6 linked regions of the Xenopus tropicalis genome follow. The protein of the gene in region 3 interacts with the protein of the main gene of each other region in a pairwise test. Links are inferred from orthologs where the notes say so. Each region holds a gene or a part of one and is shown on either strand. Other genes may lie near its edges.

Region 1 (2,809 bases), on a different chromosome or scaffold from region 3:
TCTTCTTTCTCTTGCTCTCTCACTCACACTGTGTTTTCTTTAAAATATTTTTGCAGGTCAGGCTTCTCACTTCTTTGCCATTTTATGGATCGCAAGAGAAAATTAATTTGTGATGCATTCAAAGTGAAGAAGCTACGAGACAGCTGTTCGAGAGATGGAACAGATCTAAAAGCATCTGCTTCTCCGTATCCGGGTAACGAGGAAATGCATTTTCTATTAGTAATATTGTGTTTTTTTAAAGGAGAAGGAAAGGAAAATAAAGAGTTAATCTCAAGCTGCAGGCATACCTTCAGTTCTCTCAATAGCGCCCTTAAGTCTCCCCATATTTCTCCCATTCAGATGATCAGAAGCCTCATAGGAAAAAAAAACTGCTGACCTCTGTAAAGAAACTTCCCATAATGCCTTGCTCCTGCACCAAGACCAGTGTACATGCCCAGTTTGTTAGACTATGAGGAAGCTTCCTGCTGATTGGTTCAGATCACACATTCCTAAGGGGGGGGGGGAGGGAGCAGGAGAGAGGAAAGAGCTTCGTGTCTCTGGCACAGGAAAACAAACAGACAACAAATCCTGTTTCTTTTGACAGAGAACTCAGTGCAGCTTTTCTGTGAGTGCTTATGGCTGTATTTACACCTACATTACATTAGACCTTCCTGATAAAGCTTACTCAGTTTTTACCTTTCCTTCTCGTTTAATGGTTTTCCATTTTCGTGCGTCTTATTTTCAGACTTCACGGAGGACCCTCATGGAGCCGTCTCATACCTGTGTGCCCTCTTTCCCCGTAAATTATTCAATGATACTTTGCCTCCTCTCTTTCTAAAACATCAGCTATACAGTCTTTTACAAGATCGCACAGCAGTAGACAGATTGTTGGTGAGTGATAAAATAAGTCAAATTTAAATAGGTATTTCATTAAAAAAGATCCCTGACACTTACATTATAGTGTTCAAAGCTGCCTATGTGTTGTGCTGCTAAATGGGTCGTTCACATAGCAAACGTTTAATTTCCATTAAACAGGGCCCACTAGGTTGTTTCCGGTGTCCCATTGGCCCAGTTGACCCTGTTTCTAATATTGAACTTAAAGTTTCATTTTCACCTACCATATCTTCTGGAGTAGCTTTTTTTTTGGGGGGGGGGGGGAGTTATTCTATGTTCTTCATGTTCTAATTGTTACATACATGAGTTGATACATTTCTTATCTTTGGCCCTGTTGAGTAATAATCCTTGAGTTTAATTTAAGGTAGCTGTTAGAATTGATACAGTAGTTACTAATGTTCCACAGATGCTGCAAATTGTAGCAGTTCAGAGGCTGTGCCTGGATTACTGACCAGCCAGACTAAAATACCAGGTGTATTACATAATATATATATACATAACATATAATATATATATTGCAAAATCCATTTCTCTGATTTGACATTTTTCTGTATCTGTCAGCAGGGAAGTATATTGTACATAGATGTTTGTTGATTCAATAGGATGCACAAAAAATATTTTAATGACATATGACTTATCATATTGCTGTATTTTTCTGGATCTGCCACCTCAGTAGTCCTCTTCTTGCTTCGTTTCTCTTGCATTTTTGTTTTTTTACCAGTCTTAATCTGTATTGGAATCTGATTTTTGTCTATACTCCCTTCTATATAATCACATTCCTTTTCTTTCAGAGTTCCCTCCAGCAAAAAGGGGAGGTGTGTTTAGTTCAGACTGGATTTGATCCTGACACATTCATGGTTGTAATGACTGATGACTTACGTAGGACCGCCCTCAGCAGCAGTGAAGGGGGCTCACGGGCTACTGTTGTCCGCAAATTCCTGGACTGTGATCTTTTGTTATCACCCAAAATTAGCTACGGCAGAGATGAAGTGATGATGAAACACCGCTTTAGTGATGGAGAAATAACGTAAGCAAATGGGGTTGCAGTGGACAGGGTACTGTAAAATAATTGAGGAGGAAAGTGGGATACCAGAAGAAAATAAATATGCAAGTCTATAAAACTAGAAAATCATTAAAAGTTTGTCGCAGGTAGATGTTTATTTGCATCCAAATGGAAAAAAGAAGCCCCACTTGAAATTTAGTGGAACTTTACAATGGTATGCAAGACATAGGTTAGAATACAAAATGTGAACTTATTTCTCTGAGCACTTTTGCATTTCATTTATTTTAGGTATTAAGACTGTCAATACCAGGCTTTTAGCTCAGTAGTCAGTGACCCTAGAGTTAAATGACTGGGCAGTAGGTAGCATATAGTTAGTTAGGGTTGCTGACACTAAAAACAGAAAAGGAATGTAAATTGCAAAAGTGCTCAGAGGAGTAAGTTTACATTACATTCATTTTCTATTTGTGGTTAGATCTCCTCTCTTACACCATGGCAAAATCTTTATATGGGAAATCCTAGCTAAGCTTTTTTATTTTGTATTACTGGGTCAACCTAGAGCTGGGCACAAACTCAATCTTCGCATTTGTCATTTTATTTCTGTATTACCAAGCTAAATTTAAAGATGGTTTGGTAACTGCTGATTGGCTGCTATGGGCAACTGCCCTGGTATTAACTGCCATACTGCTATCAAGCACCTGTTTGTAAATCAGCTCTTTAACTTTAACAGTATTGTAAATATGTATTTCCTGTGCTCAAATTTTTCTCACTTTTACCTCCTCTTACTTTCATTGCTACTCAGCTGTGTGGTAAGACCTCACAGTTATCGCAGGGAAACTTCAATTTTATATGCCCTGATTTTAAGTTTTCCCTCATTTGACACTGTTTTTTGTTGTTGTTGTCCTACCTATATTTATTGCATAATAATTTTTTTTT
Region 2 (2,561 bases), on a different chromosome or scaffold from region 3:
CATTTTGTATATTGTTGGCAGTAAAAATTAGCTTTCCCTCTGAACTTAAAGGGGAACTAAACATTCTGCATGGGTTATCAATTCAACTCTTAAAGTTCCTTTGCCCTGTAACCCCACCACCTACACATTGCAGAAGCCTAAAGACTCCACTGAGTTGGACTCCGCCTCCCCATCTTCTCGTCTTGAGGCCTTGGACACGTTGCTTTCCGTCTTGAAAACCCCAACAACCTGTAGAGAAAAATTTGATAGCGGCTGAGAAGCTGCCAACCCGGTCTAGAAGGGCTGAGTCTATGGCTAATATTTGCCCATGTATAGCTTTACACTGAGGCACTGGAATCCTGGTCAGGCATCCAAGAAGCAGAATAAGCAACTGCTCAGAATACAATACTATATTGCATTTTGAACAATGGGCAGATGGACAAACCTAAGCGGCTGTCCCTGCTAATACTACCCCTGAGCCCTCTTTTCTAATGGCTTTACCAATACCACATAAAAAAATTGGCAATTCAGCCCAAAACAATGGAGTTTTAGGCAAGACTGATAATGCAAGTAGAGCCCCCTCAAGCACAAGGGCCCCTAAGCGCTAGAGGGCATAGTGAGAAGCATTGGGGAGGTTCCACTCACCTTGCCAGTTGCTGTGTTCACCAACTTTGTGTCACAGTCCACCGAACCCGTAAGTACGAGGCTGCCATCGTTATTAGAGGCGACACACGTGAGAGGCCCGGCGTGTCCATCTGTGCCTGCAATATAGAAATATTCAGTTTTATACAATAAAATCCACCAGGAAATGGCACATTGCTACTTCTCTTAGTGCCCAACCCTGGATCTATGACATCATAACTCATTGACGACTGCTGATGTCATGATGCAACGCTAACCCAAGACTCCAAAGTTTAAAGGGGCAGCATCAACAGAATGTTAACGCAAGGGACACTATGCTATTTACCTTTGAGGACATGAAGAGCATTTCCTTGTTTCAGGTCCCATATCCGCACACTTCCGTCTTCATAGCCCACCACGGCTTTCCTTCCTACACAAATACCAACACTGTCATTTTCCAGGACTGCTACATAAATGTGGCCTTATGGGTAGAACTCAATGGAGATAAGCAAACAAAATCTCTTCCATTTGGAAAGGAACAACAGATACCTATCTATTGTTCCTCTGCAAATGAATTTATTATGGCTCTTACCATCGGGCAGGAACTGGCCACAGGTAGCCGGGCAGCTGGGGCCCTGGAAAGTCTTACACTCGCCACTGGGTATTTTCCACATCCAGGTGTTTCCATCAGCTGTGCCAGCCAGCAATACGTGGGCACAGGGGTGCCATTCCAGCCACTAGCAGGGAGAAAAGGGCAAGTTATTGCCATAGGCCCAATGAGGGGGCAATAATTTGAAGACTCACTGAAACAGCTGATGTGTAATTCAGGTTAAATGAATGATGAAATCAGCTTTGCTATTGGTGGGAAAGCCAAGTTACACCCCCAGCATATCCAATCCAAATCCCAATGCAGACGCAAGGCAAGATATAAGGACCCATTCCATTTCCTTACCTCTAGATCTCCCACCTCGAAAGACCAGATCTCCTCTGCCCCCTCCACCTTCCACACCTTGATCAGGCCACTCATGTCTCCAGTGGCCACCATAGTGGAGTCGTGGCTAAAAACAGCACAAGTAACAGAATCCTTGTGACCTGAGGAAAATAAAAAGGGAAACTTTGAATGGTGATTTTTACAACCATTTGTTTTTATTGCCTGAACTGCAGTTATATGTCCGCAGGCTGGAGCTATATACCAAAAGGTATCCTAAGATGCACATGTAAAGTAGGCCATGAAGGGGTTAAAGAGAACCACATGTAAAGTGCGTGGTGAAAATATTTCAACTTCCGTGTTCATGTGATGAAAAGTCACGTGATTTATGTATGAATATCACTGCACTGGTCAGGAAAGGGTAACTGAGACACTTACCAACACTGTGGGAAGTCCTATTTAACTCATGCCACTTGCCCTTTATAGATCAATCACTCCTATAGCTCTAAACAGGTGGTTCCCCTTTAAGTTAACTCTTAGTTTGTTATAGAATGTTAGCAATTTTTCAATTGGTCTTCATTTCTTATCTTTTATTGTTTCTGAATTATTTGCCTTTCTCTTCTGCCTCTTTCTGTGATACTACACTTTTTATTACTTATCTTTCTATGCAGGCCCCTCTCCTTTTCATTCCAGTTTCTCATGCAAACCACTGCCTGGTTGCTAGGGTAATTTGGAGCCTAACAACCACATAGATTCTAAAATTCCAAACTGAAGAGTTGCTGAATATAAAGCTAAATAATTTAAAAAAAACACAACATTAGAAAAACTAATTGCAAGTAGTTTCAGAATGTCACTTAATTAATTATTGTCAGTTAATTTAAAGGCAAACAACCCCTTTAAGATACCAAGTATGTTTCCACAGTCCAACCCTGGCTGCTGTGTCATGAAGAAACCCCTGCAGGCAAGCAGATGAGACTGCACAGTTGCCCCTTGGGGGGTGGGAGTTAAATAAAAAAGCAGACAAATGCATTGC
Region 3 (4,275 bases):
GAGGCTATTATCCCACTGCTACTATAGGCACCATCTCTCCCTACTATACCTGCTATCCCACAGCCCCAGTCCCTTCCCAGAGGCTATTATCCCCCCACTGCTACTATAGGCACCATCTCTCCCTACTATACCTGCTATCCCACATCCACAGTCCCTTCCCAGAGGCTATTATCCCCCCACTGCTACTATAGGCACCATCGTCCCTACTATACCTGCTATCCCACAGCCACAGTCCCTTCCCAGAGGCTATTATCCCCCACTGCTACTATAGGCACCATCTCTCCCTACTATACCTGCTATCCCACAGCCCCAGTCCCTTCCCAGAGGCTATTATCCCCCCACTGCTACTATAGGCACCATCTCTCCCTACTATACCTGCTATCCCACATCCACAGTCCCTTCCCAGAGGCTATTATCCCCCCACTGCTACTATAGGCACCATCGTCCCTACTATACCTGCTATCCCACAGCCACAGTCCCTTCCCAGAGGCTATTATCCCCCACTGCTACTATAGGCACCATCTCTCCCTACTATACCTGCTATCCCACAGCCACAGTCCCTTCCCAGAGACTATTATTAAAACCTGTAGTTGAACTCAGTGCATGCTATAAGCACATTACAAGCGCTTACCTATAAATGCCAGTGTGTATACAAGGCAAGAAGGAAGGGCCTATGTACTGCAGTTGATACAGAGGGGAGTGATAAGAATACAGAGTGTTGGTGGCTGGAGACGTAAGGGGGCTCCATATGAAGGGAAATGAATGAGTAATCCTCCAGCTGTAGTAGAACTACAACTCCCAGCTGGCAGTGAGATGAAGGGCCCTGGTCACACACCCTTCCTTACCCTGCACTAAATCAGTGTTTAAGTAGCCTGTCCCCAACCTAATATATGTGTTTCCCAGCACCAGAGTATGACAGGGAGTCGCCCCTAAATGGCTGCATGAATGATGGGGTGCCCGGCCTGCAGCACCTCTGGCAGGAGCTTCTGGGGAGCAGTGCGGGGAGTTGCAGTTCACCAATAGCAGGGGGGCTGCGGGCTGGGACATATAAGGGACATTATGAAGCATTTGTATTTGCCCCAGTTTAGGGGGCCCTAATACTATTTAGCCGCAGCTTCCAGTTCCAGTGTGACGCTGCAGCCAAACGCACTTTACTCAGTCAGGCGAGCCTGCTGTCACTCTCCCAGCGAGTACTAACCCGTGTGTCCCCCGTGTGACTGGCCTCTCCCTCCCCGCCGGCCGGCCCCAGTGCCAGTCTCCCCCTCCCTCCTACCCCTCCCGCCCGGCCGGCCCCAGTGCCAGTCTCCCCCTCCCGCCCGGCCCCAGCTGAGGGAGCGTTGAGCCACACGTGAGGCCCATATGACGGGGGGCCGGGGCTCAGCCGGCTCCAGGCGTGAGGCTTGTCACAGGGAGGGGCCAGCGCGCCCCTCCCACCAGCAGCGCCCCTCCCACCCATTTAACCAGAGGCTGAGGCGCAGCAGGGCTGCATTACCTAGCGGGGAAAGGTACTCAGTGTCAGCCTTGGGCACACTCTCAGCCCGACCTTCATGCCCCTGACTGGAATATACACACCCACCTGCTCTATTGCTAAAGCGCAGACCCTCAGGCTGCCCACAACTCTGGATTGTGCCATGGAGAGAATGCCCAGTGCCCAGCCCGCCTGTCTGGACAGACCTCCTTCCCTGTCTGGGTAAGTGCCCGGCTGCCAATGGAGCTGTACCACCTCTGCCTCAGCACCCTGTGCCCCCTACCAGCACCCTGTGCCCCCTATCAGCACCCTGTGCCCCCTGCCAGCACCCTGTGCCCCCTATCAGCACCCTGTGCCCCCTACCAGCACCCTGTGCCCCCTACCAGCACCCTGTGCCCCCTATCAGCACCCTGTGCCTCCTGCCAGCACCCTGTGCCCCCTATCAGCACCCTGTGCAGGGAACCTGTTGCCCTGTAGCTCTGCTGGGACTCCTGGCTGGTGTTGGGGGGGGGGGGCATTTTTAATGAGCCCCAAGGAATTAGAGGGTTGGGGACTGATGTGTAACAAGTGTTATACATATATTCTGTAAATGCCCCAGGGATTCCACAACAGCTGGGGGGGGGGGGGGGGGGCAGGTTGGACAACCCTGATTTTTTCATTTCCCTTTCCTCAGATTTGGGGGGGCTCAAAGTTCTTCTATTCCCAGGGGCCATCATCCCTTTAATTTAGCAGTTAGCGTTTGTTATTGGAATTATATTTCAGCAACTGGTTGGTTTAATGTCTTGGTTCCAGAGTTGGGTAGAAATGGTATTTGTGTTGGACCCCCCAGAAGGGCCACTTTTCCATTTTCTCCAGCCTTAGTGACTTTGGGGGGGGGGGGGTGTTTTTGGAATATTTCTCTTGACCAAAATGATGCTGAGGAGGGGGGCTATGTCCATTGCTTGGGTCCTGATCTCCCCTTTGCTTGTCACAGGATGGATTTCTCCCATATGTATCCGGTGTTTAAACACAGGAAAGCTCTGAAGAGGTGCGAGGAGAGCAAGGTGAGACAATATTCTAACCCTGGCACCCAACACTCAGCACCCACATTTTGGCTTGTTTCTCTACTTTCTTTACAGCTCCTGTGCTTCTCTAAACATTATTAGCCTATATTTATACTGGCATTATCTGTACTGCCCTACACAGCTACAGCTGGTACATACATTCCTCCATATACCTGCTGCCAATCTGCTGCCAAATGTGCCAGAAAACACCCGACTCCCATCATGTCTCTGTCTCATGTCAGCTGTTTCTACATTCTTCTATACATTCTAATTACTATATAATAAATATATATTCTTGAACCTTACTGGCTCTTAAGCATTTAAGTATTTGCCATTTTTATTTTTTAAACCCCATAAGGGTGTGAATGCTGGCATGATGTCACATTGCGCGTGTGTCTGTACATGCCGTGCTGTGTGTGTCTCCCTCTCAAAGCCCTGCTTGTTCTGTACAGTGTGTGAGTGATGGTCCTGCCTCACGTGGACTGTCACATGTAGGTGAAGTGGCCACGGAACAGACACAAGGGGGCACTGTGTCATACTGTCCCATTACTGTAGGAACCTTCCAGCTATAGCCAATATGACACGTATCTGCTGAGATGGCCACCTAAGTTTAAATGTGTGTAACACTTACCCCCCCCATTCCCATCCAGCAGGACACATACAAGCTGCCACACCGGCTCATTGAGAAGAAGCGTCGGGATCGGATCAATGAATGCATCGCTCAGCTGAAAGACCTGTTGCCAGAGCACCTCAAACTGACGGTAAGTTACCTATTGCTCCCTGCAGTGTAGGAGATCAGTATTGTCATATTAAAGGGCTTTTATCCCAAGCAATGCAAGGTGCAAAATACAGGGGTGCAAGCGGCCTGATTTTTTGTTTACCCGCGATGCAACATTTCCTTATAAAATAACCCCATGCTGCAAGCACACGTGGTAGGCACGGGAAACCAGCTCCATATCAATGCACATGACCGCCATGAACAAGAAACTGATACATGTGATGGACTCACAGCAGATACATGTGACAGTGCCACGCACTCAATAAATGTGACAATCACACAACTACTGGCCTATCTGATTAAAACATATTAAACAGACATGTGATGCCATATGTGTGTGCACAGAAAGCAGCTGATAAACCACAAGATACACAGTGGTGCTGTATGTGCACATAATGATATATATTTATTTCATTCTACACCATTAATTTGTAACATAATAGTGACGTGTGTATCCTTGTGCATTCTCGGTGGGGTTAAAGACTTTAGACAAGTATTTCCCATATTACAATACAGTAAGAGTTAATGTAAACAATAACACGAGTTGGGGACAAAGCAGAAATAGCTGGCGGTGTTTGGGTGACTGCGTAAAACACAATAAACAAAGCCAATGCCAGGAAGGCACCACTGAGTTGGTTTGGAATTGTACTGCACTATTTATACTTGTTTCTAGCATATTTGTGCTCATTTATATAATCTATGGCTGTGACTAGGCATATTGGGTGCTTGGGTAAGTAGGTAGTGGGAGATTCTATTGCTTGTCTGTGTGTGAGTCAGAACAAGGCTGTGGTGGCATTGTTGCTTGCCCAAGAGTCTGGGGGCAGCAGAGTTGCTAGAGGAGGGGGGGGGTCGCTATCACAGAGCTTTAATTTAGCATCGCCATGGAGTTTTCCAGAGACAGTTTGTTACAGGACTGGATGCTAAGTAGTAAGCGGTGTCGGTATGTTCAGATAACCATTCTTATGTTTCCTTTTATAGACTTTGGG
Region 4 (3,403 bases), on a different chromosome or scaffold from region 3:
TCCCATGGGGCTAGCCATATTCTTCATTTCCCAGGGTGCCACAGCCATGTGACCTGTGCTCTGATAAACTACAGTCACACTTTACTGCTGCGCTGCAAGTTGGAGTGATATCCCCCCTCCCCCCCCCCCCAGCAGCCAATCAGCAGAACAATGGGAAGGGAGCAAGATAGCAGCTCCGAGTAGGTATCAGAATAGCACTCAATAGTAAGAAATCCAAGTCCAGCTTGGGACTCCTCCAGTTACATGGGAGTAGGAGAAACAATAGGTTAGCTGAAAGCAGTTCTAATGTGTAGCGCTGGTTCCTTCTGAAAGCTCAGACTCAGTCACACTTTACTGCTGTGCTGCAAGTTGGAGTGATATCCCCCCCTCACCCCCAGCAGCCGATCAGCAGAACAATGGGAAGGGAGCAAGATAGCAGCTCCGAGTAGGTATCAGAATAGCACTCAATAGTAAGAAATCCAAGTCCGGCTTGGGACTCCTCCAGTTACATGGGAGTAGGAGAAACAATAGGTTAGCTGAAAGCAGTTCTAATGTGTAGCGCTGGCTGAAAGCTCAGACTCAGGCACAATGCACTGAGATGGCGCCTACACACCAATATTACAGCTACAAATACATTTGTTGGTTCAAGAATAAAATTTTTAGCAGTGTAATTTATACACCATAAAAATCACGATAGAATCCCTTTAAAGGGTATGGCAACCCTACATTTTCTGGTCTGGTCTTACCTCCCCAACCCAAACACACAATTTGTATTGCATATATCGCCTCTGTTGTCAGCACCATCACATTTACCTAAAACATTTACATCTGCAAACAGCATGTGTGCACTGTAAAGTTTATGCAGTGGAGAATGCAGGTTTACACAGGCAGCTAGGATTGAGCCCTGTAATGGTAAAGCTGAGCTCAGGAGAGGAGGTTAGGAGAAAAAACATGTTTCTCCAGCAAAGTGCACAGATAGAGCAGAGTTTTTATGAAAACCAGCAGTGCCATCCCTTCACTGGCTGCTAGACTGGAGGGCATTTAGTAACCTGGGTTGAGTACAAATGGAGTGGCAGGTATTTATAGTTTTAAAAGAGGCTCTTTTGATCATTATAATCAATACTTGCCAACTTTCCTTAATTTCCAGTCTCGATTTTTGACTCCAGGTAATACCTGTCCCTAAAAATACCTCAGAGTATTGGACATTAATGTTTTGATGTCCAATGCTACATTAATATATTGTTCCAATGAGCAGAAAGCAGTAATGCCTGTCCTTATTCTGCATTGGTGGCTACAGTGCACCCAAACTCTTTTGGGCATGTTTCATACCACCCAATAGACCTAGCATCAAGGATATTATTTTTAAATGCTGGCAACTATATAAAGGAGAAAGTTGGCCTCAAACCAGCCATTTAACTTCTTGTTGATGCCATGTGATGTACATTACATTACATTACATTAACATTTATTTATAAAGCGCCAACATATTCCGCAGCGCTGTACAATAAGTGGGTTACATACATTGGACATACAGAGTAACATATAAAGCAATCAATAACCGATACAAGGGGTGAAGAGGGCCCTGCCCAAAAGAGCTTACAATCTACAAGGAGAAAGGGTTGAGACACAAGGTGTGGGAATGGGCATGACCAGAGTTGTGAGAGGTGTGGCACAGGTTATTGCTAAACTAGATTAGGGTAAGCCTCTCTAAATAAATGTGTTTTTAGAGATTTCTTGAAGGCAGAGAGATTGGGAGAAAGTCTGACAGTTTGTGGGAGCGAATTCCAGAGAAGGGGGGCAGCCCTTGCAAAGTCTTGAATGCGAGCGTGTGAGGAGGGAATGAGAGAGGAGTTGGGGAGCAGGTCAGTAGAGGAGCGTAACAAGCGGGTTGGATGGTACCTAGAGATGAGTTCAGAGATGTAGGGTGGGGCAGAGTTATGGACTGCTTTAAATGTGAGGGTCAATAGCTTGAATTTTATCCTGGATGGTAGGGGAAGCCAGTGCAGGGATTGGCAGAGCGGCATGGCAGAGCAGGAGCGGTTGGAGAGGTGTATGAGCCTGGCAGCAGTATTCATTATGGACTGGAGAGGGGACAGTCTTTGGAGGGGAAGGCCAATTAATAGGGAGTTACAGTAGTCCAGGCGAGATATTATAAGAGAGTGAATAAGAATTTTGGCAGCATCTTGGGTGATAAATGATCGGATTTTGGAGATATTTCTTAGGTGAAAGTGACATGATTTGATAAGTGATTGGATATGAGGAGTGAAGGACAGGGCAGAATCAAGGATAACCCCAAGGCACCGGGCCTGGGAAGATGGGGTGATGGTAGAATTGTTAACCGTTATAGATACCTCGGGAACAATGTGAGCGTTGGATGGGGGAAAGAGAACCAGTTCAGTTTTAGAGAGGTTTAATTTGAGGTAACGTTGCAATGTGCGCAGGTGGTGAAGCTCTGCCGGGACTGCTTGAAGAGACAGGAGCCCATTTTCGCTGATACCAACATCTACATGTTACGGATCCTGAGCATCTATTCCGAAGTGCTCTCTTATCTGCAAATGTTTGATGATGCCGCAGAAAATGCCAAGAAAATGGTCGACGGATACTTGTGAGTTTGTATCTAATCCGGTTTATTGTATATTGGCCTGAATCATACCATATAGCACTGTATATGAAACTCTGCATGGCAACATAATCATAGTGTATTGGCTGTTATTTACTGTAACAATAGTATGGAAACTGTCACTGGTGACAAAAGGCAGGGGTATGGGCAACACTGGGGGTATGGTCCATCTGGAAATATTGTCATTGTGCAGGCTCAGTATTAGCATAAACAAACTAGTTTAATTTGTCCATACCAGCCTATCCAATGTCAGCACACAGTAGGTGTTCCCCTATCCCAGTGATCCCCAACCAGAATGTTGCTCTCAGTGCCCCCAAACCAGGGAGTTATTTTTGAATTCCTGACTTGGGGGCAAGTTTTGGTTGAATAAAAACAAGATTTCCTACCAAATAAAGCCCCTGTAAGCTGATAGGGTGCATAGAGGCCCCTAATAGCCAATCACAGCCCTTATTTTGCTCCTCCATGAACTTTTATGGTGCTTGTATTGCTCCCCAAGTCCTTTTACATGTGACTGTGGCTCATGAGTAAGAAAGGCTGGGGATCCCTGCCTTATACTGAGCACAACTCAGCAGTAACTGTCCCCTTACCACCAGTAATCATGTGGCCCCAAACTAATAAATTAGCAGGATTACCTGTCCAGGAGACCCAATTATTAGCCCACCAGTCAGCTGGCCAGATCGAATGGAGCCGCTGCAGAAAAAAAAATGCCCTACATGGTCATTGATGGACACTGATCCACCTCAAACCCCCAACAGGTTCTGCCCTGTGATATGCATTTTTGTGTTCCCCTGAGCATAGCAGCCT
Region 5 (3,521 bases), on a different chromosome or scaffold from region 3:
GTAGCAGCTACTTGTCTGAAACACACGTAGAGACAGTTATCAGTAAATTATTAGCATTGTCTATTTTTGTAGTCGTGACAAGTAGCAGCAACTAGTAGCTTCATGTGTCTTATGGAGGCCAAATACATACAGTATCTAGTACACATTTAGTCCAAGGACCCACAGAGTGGTTTAGTCATCTGCAATAGATCTCTGGTATTGTAGGCTACTAACCACTCCGAAATGCCTTTCCACCAGCAGCAATAGGAGTCACCGTTGGAAAGGCCATTGCATTGCTTCTGTATTCTAAAGTCGCGTACGGTTTCCTCCTGCATTGTGAAGGGCATTCCACTGGCGACCCCTCTTGTTAGTTGCCTGTGTTAGCAGAGATTTATCTTGGGTGACTCAACCTCTCCGTGGGTCCTTAGCCTTAGTAGGCTTGATATAATTAAATATATGCTAATCTTCTGTGGACAAATATATTAAGTTCTTACCAGGACAACAGCAGTCAGTATAAAGATATTCAAGAAAACACAGAAAAGTGTCCTTAGATATGCCATAAATTGGTATCAAAAAGCTTTTTGCTTCCACATAGCTACCACTAAACATGGCAGCCATAACGTCACAGCGTGCTACTAACACTGCCCGATGAGCAGGTATGGTAATATCTGAAATTAGGAAAAAATGCAAAATGTTAATGACATATTTACATGTAACCTTACTGTTTCATATAGTTGCTCTGCATTATATCTGAACAGGGTTTTTATTGTTTCACCTTAAACAACTGGAGAAGGTTTTCTCACTGAACTGAATCTGGTCCTATATTGGTAAAACTTGGAATCTTACGCTAAGAATTACAATTTTGAATTAAAATGCTTCAAACTTCTGCACTACCTGACCAAACAAAACCCTCTTTGTGATCACATGTGCATTTAGACATTACCTTGAACTTGAAAAATGACATCTGCTAACAAAGGAGTGTTAAAGAATATGCCAAGTGCTCTGCAGAACTGCCATGGCTCTGGGCAGTGGGAGGGAGAGCAATCTGTTCCCTGCCAAAAAGCAATCAGAAGAGCAAAATAATAAAATAGTAAATTAGGACTGAAACTGAATTAAAGTTGAAAGCAAGAAATAAATTATTACTAATAAATTTGATAATGTGTTAATACTGAGGTGACAGAATGGAGGAAAATGAGGCAGAAACTTCCCATTTAACTACTGCCATACAGAACAGATTCTCAGCCTTACTAAAAGAAAAAGAGAAAATTGCCCCTCCGCTCCTATCCACTCTTAGTTGTGTCAGCACCCAGAGTTACTGCGTTAGCATGAGTGCAGACACATGGCGTGGATAACGGCATGGAAACATGTGAGTATGCATTTTCATGCTTAATTCTGCTCCATGGGGGGAATTCACAAAAGTGGTGATATTGAGGCAAAATAAAAATGGAGATAGATTTGTTGGATTTTCCACCTTATTCACAAACCTCTATCTCCACTTTTGTGAATTTGTCTTTTAAACAGACAGTTTTCAGATTTTGTCATTTTCCTGACAATTTTTTTTGTGAATTTGCCTTTAGCTCTTAGTAAATCTGTCAGTGCCACCAAACCCGGCCCCACATCTACATGGGATAAGGATTTTACCAGCAGGATTTTGCATTTCATGAGCCATTTGTCATTTCAATTTAGGGGCATTTCCTGAGGGGTAATTTTAGTTTGCCTGGGAAAACTTTACATCATTTTTTTCAGGACAAGCTGGGCTTTGTAATGTTTCCTATATTTCTTTGTAATTCCACTAAATACCTTTTTCTCTAGCCCCTACTCATTACTGGTCAGCAGAATTCTGGCCCATACACCAACATGCCCAGTGAAAAGAGGTCCAACAGTACTAGGGTCCATTGGGTTTTTATCCAGTGCCCTGTTGGGCCAGTCCAACCTTGTGCCAGTGTGTATGTGCTGCTTGCTGATCCCCAAGATGGCTGCTGGGAACAGAAGGGACACAGGTAAAGGAGGTGGCCAATGCTATCAAGCAGCTCTGTAGTTCTGGATATGCTATAGGGGCACAGAAAAGTTGGGGCAAGTGTAAGTGAAGTGATTAATAAGGGGGCACTGCCTGGAAGGTTTTACTTTTCCTTTAAATAAAAATGTTACTGATTCATTAAGCTAGCATAACAATGCAAATGTTAGGTAAAAACTTTTTACATAATTTTTATAACTTTTCTACCAGAGGTGTGAAATGAAGACTGGGTGAAACACAACAAAACAGATGAGTTTAGAATTGGTCTGACAGAGTTACACTGAGTTTTACTCCATTTTGAAAATGGTGGGGAAAAATGTCAGGAAAAAAATGTCCTTAAAACATCATATAAATTTTGTTTCAACAACAAATTCACAAAAGTGTCTGTAAACTGTCTTTCTTTCACCAAAAACTGTAAAGTGACGTTTGAGTCGGAATTTAGGCAGATTTCTGTTTGTGAATATGGAGAAAGTGTTTTCCACCACTTTTACTGCATAAAAGGGCTATCCCCACTTTTGTGAATTCCCCCCATGTGTCTGCACCCAGGCCAGTGCAGTGACTCTGGGTGCAGACACAAAAACAGCAGAAAGGGGCAGAGGGGCAGTTTCTTGGCCTGTGTTTATATGAACCCGAGAAGCTTCTCCACGTGGCAGCAGCATTTTAGATGATGATCTGTATTACTTATATATATGCCATATTAATATATGTATCACTTTTATTTAGCCGTTACATTCCATGGTTTCTGGTAAAGATTCTTAGTAGCCTCTCTCATGTTATATTACAAACCACTGGTATGCATTTGTATAATGTTATATTACAAACCAATGGTATGCATTTGTATAATACAGGTATGGGTTCGGTTGTCCAGAAACCTATTATCCAAATCTCCAAATTACGGGATGGCCATTTCCCATAGACTCCAGTTTTAATCAAAATATTCTAATTTTACAACAGTAACTTGTATTAGATGGTAACTAAGCTGTATGAATCAATACTGGTGGCAAAACAATCCTATTGGTTTTAATTAATGCTTACTTTATTTTTAACAGGTCTTTCCATAATTTTTTTCTTCATACCTTATGTTCTATGAATTTTGCATAAAAGGTCCTATACCTCTATTATTAATTGCACTAATTCCCCCGCCATTTGTGTCAGTAAGTTACCCACAGACCCATAATTTTTTATGCTGTACAAGACCCAGGATTCATCTCTAAACAGGGGGCATATACAAATAACTAAAATATTTTCAGACACATCTACTCCCCTACCTGGTTGTCTATTTAAGCAACATACATGGGACATGTACCCTACATCTCCCAATACATCCCCAGATGTGCTCCTGTACAATAATATAATCATTCTGAAGTAGAATATAGCTGACCTTGCCTGATGTTTTCAGGATACACCGAACCGTGTGAATAATACGTGCAACATCTTCAGGATCCTCTATCCTTTTTCTAAGTTGCTGTTTAAGCAAATACCACTGATGAGCACCTGTAACAGAGGGATCAATCAATACTGTGGATCA
Region 6 (3,282 bases), on a different chromosome or scaffold from region 3:
ATGATGTTTCTTTTCGGCAGTATTACCTTTACATCACTATTTTACACTTAGCGTGGCCACCAGTTTACAGGCCACTAATTCTGATTCCTACGTATACGTATGAGAGCCTTTCCTCGTCCCCTAGTCATAGTTCAGAATATTTTCCTTTGTTCCAGTAGCCGGATCGAGTTGGGCGATGTGACTCCACATAACATAAAGCAACTGAAGCGGCTGAACCAAGTCATCTTCCCCGTGAGCTACAATGACAAATTCTACAAGGATGTGCTGGAAGTCGGAGAGCTCGCCAAACTGGGTAAGGGCTGCAGTGTTTGTGGCAAGCAGGGGTAACAATGAGCATTTGTACATGTGTTTATTAATGGAAATAATGACCCTATTGGCCGGGAAGCCCCGAATATTAATAGTTTTTTCTTGCAGTGTTCCTCGCTGCTGCTCTTCCATTCAGCTGCTCATTTATATCAGAAACTGCCGCCTATTGGACTGGGTGCTGCCTATATTGCTACACATATTCAAGGGGCCCCCTTATTTAGCAGGACTGGTGTGTAACTTAAAGAAAAGTATTTGCTAGGGATTTTATGTGTTACTTTCCCAGAACTCTTTCCTCAAATTCAACTATCCGTAGAAGTTTAGGCCTCTTTATGTCACTGCCTCCTGTTGCAGGCTGCCCACTTTACTTTATGGGCAATGCACTTGGGCCGTAAAGGGGTTGTCCACATTGGAGTTAAATTTTAGTATGATGTAGAGTAATATTCTAAGACAATTTGCAATTGGTCTCCATTTTTTATTTGTAGTTTTTTAATTATTTCAGGGGGTTTTTCAGCAGCTCTCCGGCTTGTAGATTCAGCAGCTGTTTGGTTGCTAGGATCTAAATTACCTTAGCAACCAGGGTGTGGTTTGAATGTAAAGGTGGCCATACACGGGCCGATTCTAGCTGCCGACTTGGCACCTTAAAGGTCTGTGTATGGGCACTAACGACGGGCCTGCCCAACCGACATCTGGCCTGAAATTGGCTAGATATGGATAGGGCAGGTTTAAAAATCTAGTCAGATTGGGGACCGCATCGGCTCATTGATGTGGTCCCTGAACTGACTGTGCCTATGCCCGTCATTCTAACTCAATCTGAATTAGCCAAAAACCGCCCACCCTTAGGTGGGGATATCGGGAGAAGATCCGCTTAGCAAGCAGATCTTAGCGTGTATGTCCACCTTAAGACTGATACATGAATAGGAGCGGGACTAAATAGAAAAATAATATAAAGGCAAAATAACAAAACTGGAGCCTCACAGAGCAATAGTTTTTTAGCTGCCGGGGGTCAGTGACCCCCATTTCAAAGCTGGAAAGGGGCAGAAGAAGGCAAATAATTTATAAACTGTGAAAAACAAATAATGAAGAATAATTTAAAAAGTTTTAAGCATAGAATTGGCCATTGTAAGTAATAAAAATAGCTAGCGGAATTGATCTGACAATCAATTTTTTTTTTTTTGCTGGGGTCCGAGACCCCCAGAAACTAAGTAGCATTTTTTCATTTTTGCAAGCTTGAAACGGGCAGAATTGGGAATACTGAAACAGAAAACCATACAAAGGAGGCCAATTTGTACTTCACTTACTTCCATGGCTCCCTCTACCCCTCAGCAGTGCAGCCCCAAATACAGAGAGTCACTAAAGCCCCACGAGCCTGTCCCTTGTCCAACCTCGTATTAGCACCTCTCAGATAAATAGCTGCACATCTGCTTGGGAAGGCATCCCCCCTCCTTGGCCAGCCGGGTCGCTACAGCATCCCTAGCACCTTCTTCTTTCCACATCTTCTCATATAACATTTTTCTCTTAAAGTGGAATGTGCAGGTCTGAACTGCGTGGGGATTTGGCTTATATTCTAGATCAGGCCTGCACAACTGGAGGCCCACGGGCCCAATGGGTTTTTATGGCCGCCAGTCGGCCTAAAGGTGCCTTAGACTCCTCAGTATATCATCATCATTTTAATTTAATCTGGCCCTCAGGCATGCTATAAATAATCATATAATCAGTTGGTCAGCACTGTTCTAGATAAATTGGTATGTTCACTTTATCCCCTAATGAAAGACTTAATTCCACAGGCACACTAAATTTGAGACCAGGGAGACCACCTTATTTTGCTTTTCTCCTGAGTATTTAGGGCTGCAATTATATACAGGTATGGGATAAATTATCCAGAATGTTCCAAATTATGGAAAGGCCATCTCTCAGACTCAATTATAAACAAATAGTTCTAGTTTTTAAAAAGTGATTTCCTTTTTCTCTGTAATAATAAAACAGTACCTGTACTAGATCCCAACTAAGATATAATTACCCCTTATTGGGGCAGAACAGCCCTATTGGGTTTATTTAATGGTTAAATTATTCCCTTTTCTCTGTAATAATAAAACAGTACCTGTACTTGATCCCAACTAAGATATAATTACCCCTTATTGGGGCAGAACAGCCCTATTGGGTTTATTTAACGGTTAAATGATTCCCTTTTCTCTGTAATAATAAAACAGTACCTGTACTTGATCCCAACTAAGATATAATTACCCCTTATTGGGGCAGAACAGCCCTATTGGGTTTATTTCATGGTTAAATGATTCCCTTTTCTCTGTAATAATAAAACAGTACCTGTACTTGATCCCAACTAAGATATAATTACCCCTTATTGGGGCAGAACAGCCCTATTGGGTTTATTTAATGGTTAAATGATTCCCTTTTCTCTGTAATAATAAAACAGTACCTGTACTTGATCCCAACTAAGATATAATTACCCCTTATTGGGAGCAGAACAATCCTATTGGGTTCATTTCATGGTTAAATGATTTTTCAGTAGACTTGGAGATCCAAATTGCAGAAAAACCCCAGGTCTAAGCATTCTGGATATCCGCTCCCATAACCCATGTTTAATCTGGGCCTTTGTCTTTTAGTCACCATACTATTGTGCTGGTTTCCTTTCCCTTTTCAAGAGTTACTGTGGACATCAAGCAATATATGTGTATGAATAACATGGATAATAATATAATATGGATAACAATCCGATGGTTCTAGTCCCAGTATGTAGCAATGGCTGGTGTGAGTATAGGCACGGGGGTAGCTCTGTGTAGCCTTTCTCCTGAACTGAATTGCTGCAGTTGCAGATCAGGAACCTTCCCTTTCAGGTTACATCTGTCTCAGAAAAGACCTTTTTCTGACATTATTTTAATTAGAAACTTTTTCCCTCAATAAATGTTCTATTAATGCTTAGCATGTTTGTTTTTAGGTCCCTCAGGCCCAGTAACATTC

What was found.
Region 1: the proteins of bhlhe40 (region 3) and stk19 interact in a two-hybrid assay, tested with the Homo sapiens proteins (2 studies listed by BioGRID). The two-hybrid records come from large-scale screens. The link is inferred for Xenopus tropicalis from reciprocal best matches to the Homo sapiens genes BHLHE40 and WHR1.
Region 2: the proteins of bhlhe40 (region 3) and aamp interact in a two-hybrid assay, tested with the Homo sapiens proteins (2 studies listed by BioGRID and IntAct). The link is inferred for Xenopus tropicalis from reciprocal best matches to the Homo sapiens genes BHLHE40 and AAMP.
Region 4: the proteins of bhlhe40 (region 3) and smyd1 interact in binary tests that used the Homo sapiens proteins (3 or more experiments, as listed by UniProt). The link is inferred for Xenopus tropicalis from reciprocal best matches to the Homo sapiens genes BHLHE40 and SMYD1.
Region 5: the proteins of bhlhe40 (region 3) and rhobtb3 interact in binary tests that used the Homo sapiens proteins (3 or more experiments, as listed by UniProt). The two-hybrid records come from large-scale screens. The link is inferred for Xenopus tropicalis from reciprocal best matches to the Homo sapiens genes BHLHE40 and RHOBTB3.
Region 6: the proteins of bhlhe40 (region 3) and naa50 interact in binary tests that used the Homo sapiens proteins (3 or more experiments, as listed by UniProt). The two-hybrid records come from large-scale screens. The link is inferred for Xenopus tropicalis from reciprocal best matches to the Homo sapiens genes BHLHE40 and NAA50.

The regions. Positions count from the first base shown.
Region 1 is NC_030684.2:74,175,832-74,178,640, reverse strand, and holds part of stk19 (serine/threonine-protein kinase 19), read left to right. Parts: intron 1-55; exon of another isoform or gene 56-56; 5' UTR 57-84; coding exon 85-193; intron 194-724; coding exon 725-870; intron 871-1,664; coding exon 1,665-1,900; intron 1,901-2,809. UniProt on the Homo sapiens protein: DNA-binding protein which is required for efficient transcription-coupled nucleotide excision repair (TC-NER). Acts as part of a TC-NER complex which assembles and interacts with RNA polymerase II (RNAPII) when it stalls at DNA lesions.
Region 2 is NC_030685.2:85,167,114-85,169,674, reverse strand, and holds part of aamp (angio-associated migratory cell protein), read right to left. Parts: intron 1,693-2,561; coding exon 1,553-1,692; intron 1,338-1,552; coding exon 1,193-1,337; intron 1,031-1,192; coding exon 947-1,030; intron 741-946; coding exon 625-740; intron 229-624; coding exon 125-228; intron 1-124. UniProt on the Homo sapiens protein: Plays a role in angiogenesis and cell migration. In smooth muscle cell migration, may act through the RhoA pathway.
Region 3 is NC_030680.2:130,139,862-130,144,136, forward strand, and holds the start of bhlhe40 (class E basic helix-loop-helix protein 40), read left to right. Parts: upstream 1-1,455; 5' UTR 1,456-1,547; coding exon 1,548-1,690; intron 1,691-2,441; coding exon 2,442-2,511; intron 2,512-3,161; coding exon 3,162-3,272; intron 3,273-4,267; coding exon 4,268-4,275. UniProt on the Homo sapiens protein: Transcriptional repressor involved in the regulation of the circadian rhythm by negatively regulating the activity of the clock genes and clock-controlled genes.
Region 4 is NC_030677.2:18,423,590-18,426,992, reverse strand, and holds part of smyd1 (histone-lysine N-methyltransferase SMYD1), read left to right. Parts: intron 1-2,420; coding exon 2,421-2,584; intron 2,585-3,403. UniProt on the Homo sapiens protein: Methylates histone H3 at 'Lys-4' (H3K4me), seems able to perform both mono-, di-, and trimethylation. Acts as a transcriptional repressor. Essential for cardiomyocyte differentiation and cardiac morphogenesis.
Region 5 is NC_030677.2:177,111,652-177,115,172, forward strand, and holds part of rhobtb3 (rho-related BTB domain-containing protein 3), read right to left. Parts: intron 3,488-3,521; coding exon 3,375-3,487; intron 1,032-3,374; coding exon 923-1,031; intron 648-922; coding exon 474-647; intron 1-473. UniProt on the Homo sapiens protein: Rab9-regulated ATPase required for endosome to Golgi transport. Involved in transport vesicle docking at the Golgi complex, possibly by participating in release M6PRBP1/TIP47 from vesicles to permit their efficient docking and fusion at the Golgi.
Region 6 is NC_030678.2:3,211,685-3,214,966, reverse strand, and holds part of naa50 (N-alpha-acetyltransferase 50), read left to right. Parts: intron 1-155; coding exon 156-292; intron 293-3,282. UniProt on the Homo sapiens protein: N-alpha-acetyltransferase that acetylates the N-terminus of proteins that retain their initiating methionine. Has a broad substrate specificity: able to acetylate the initiator methionine of most peptides, except for those with a proline in second position.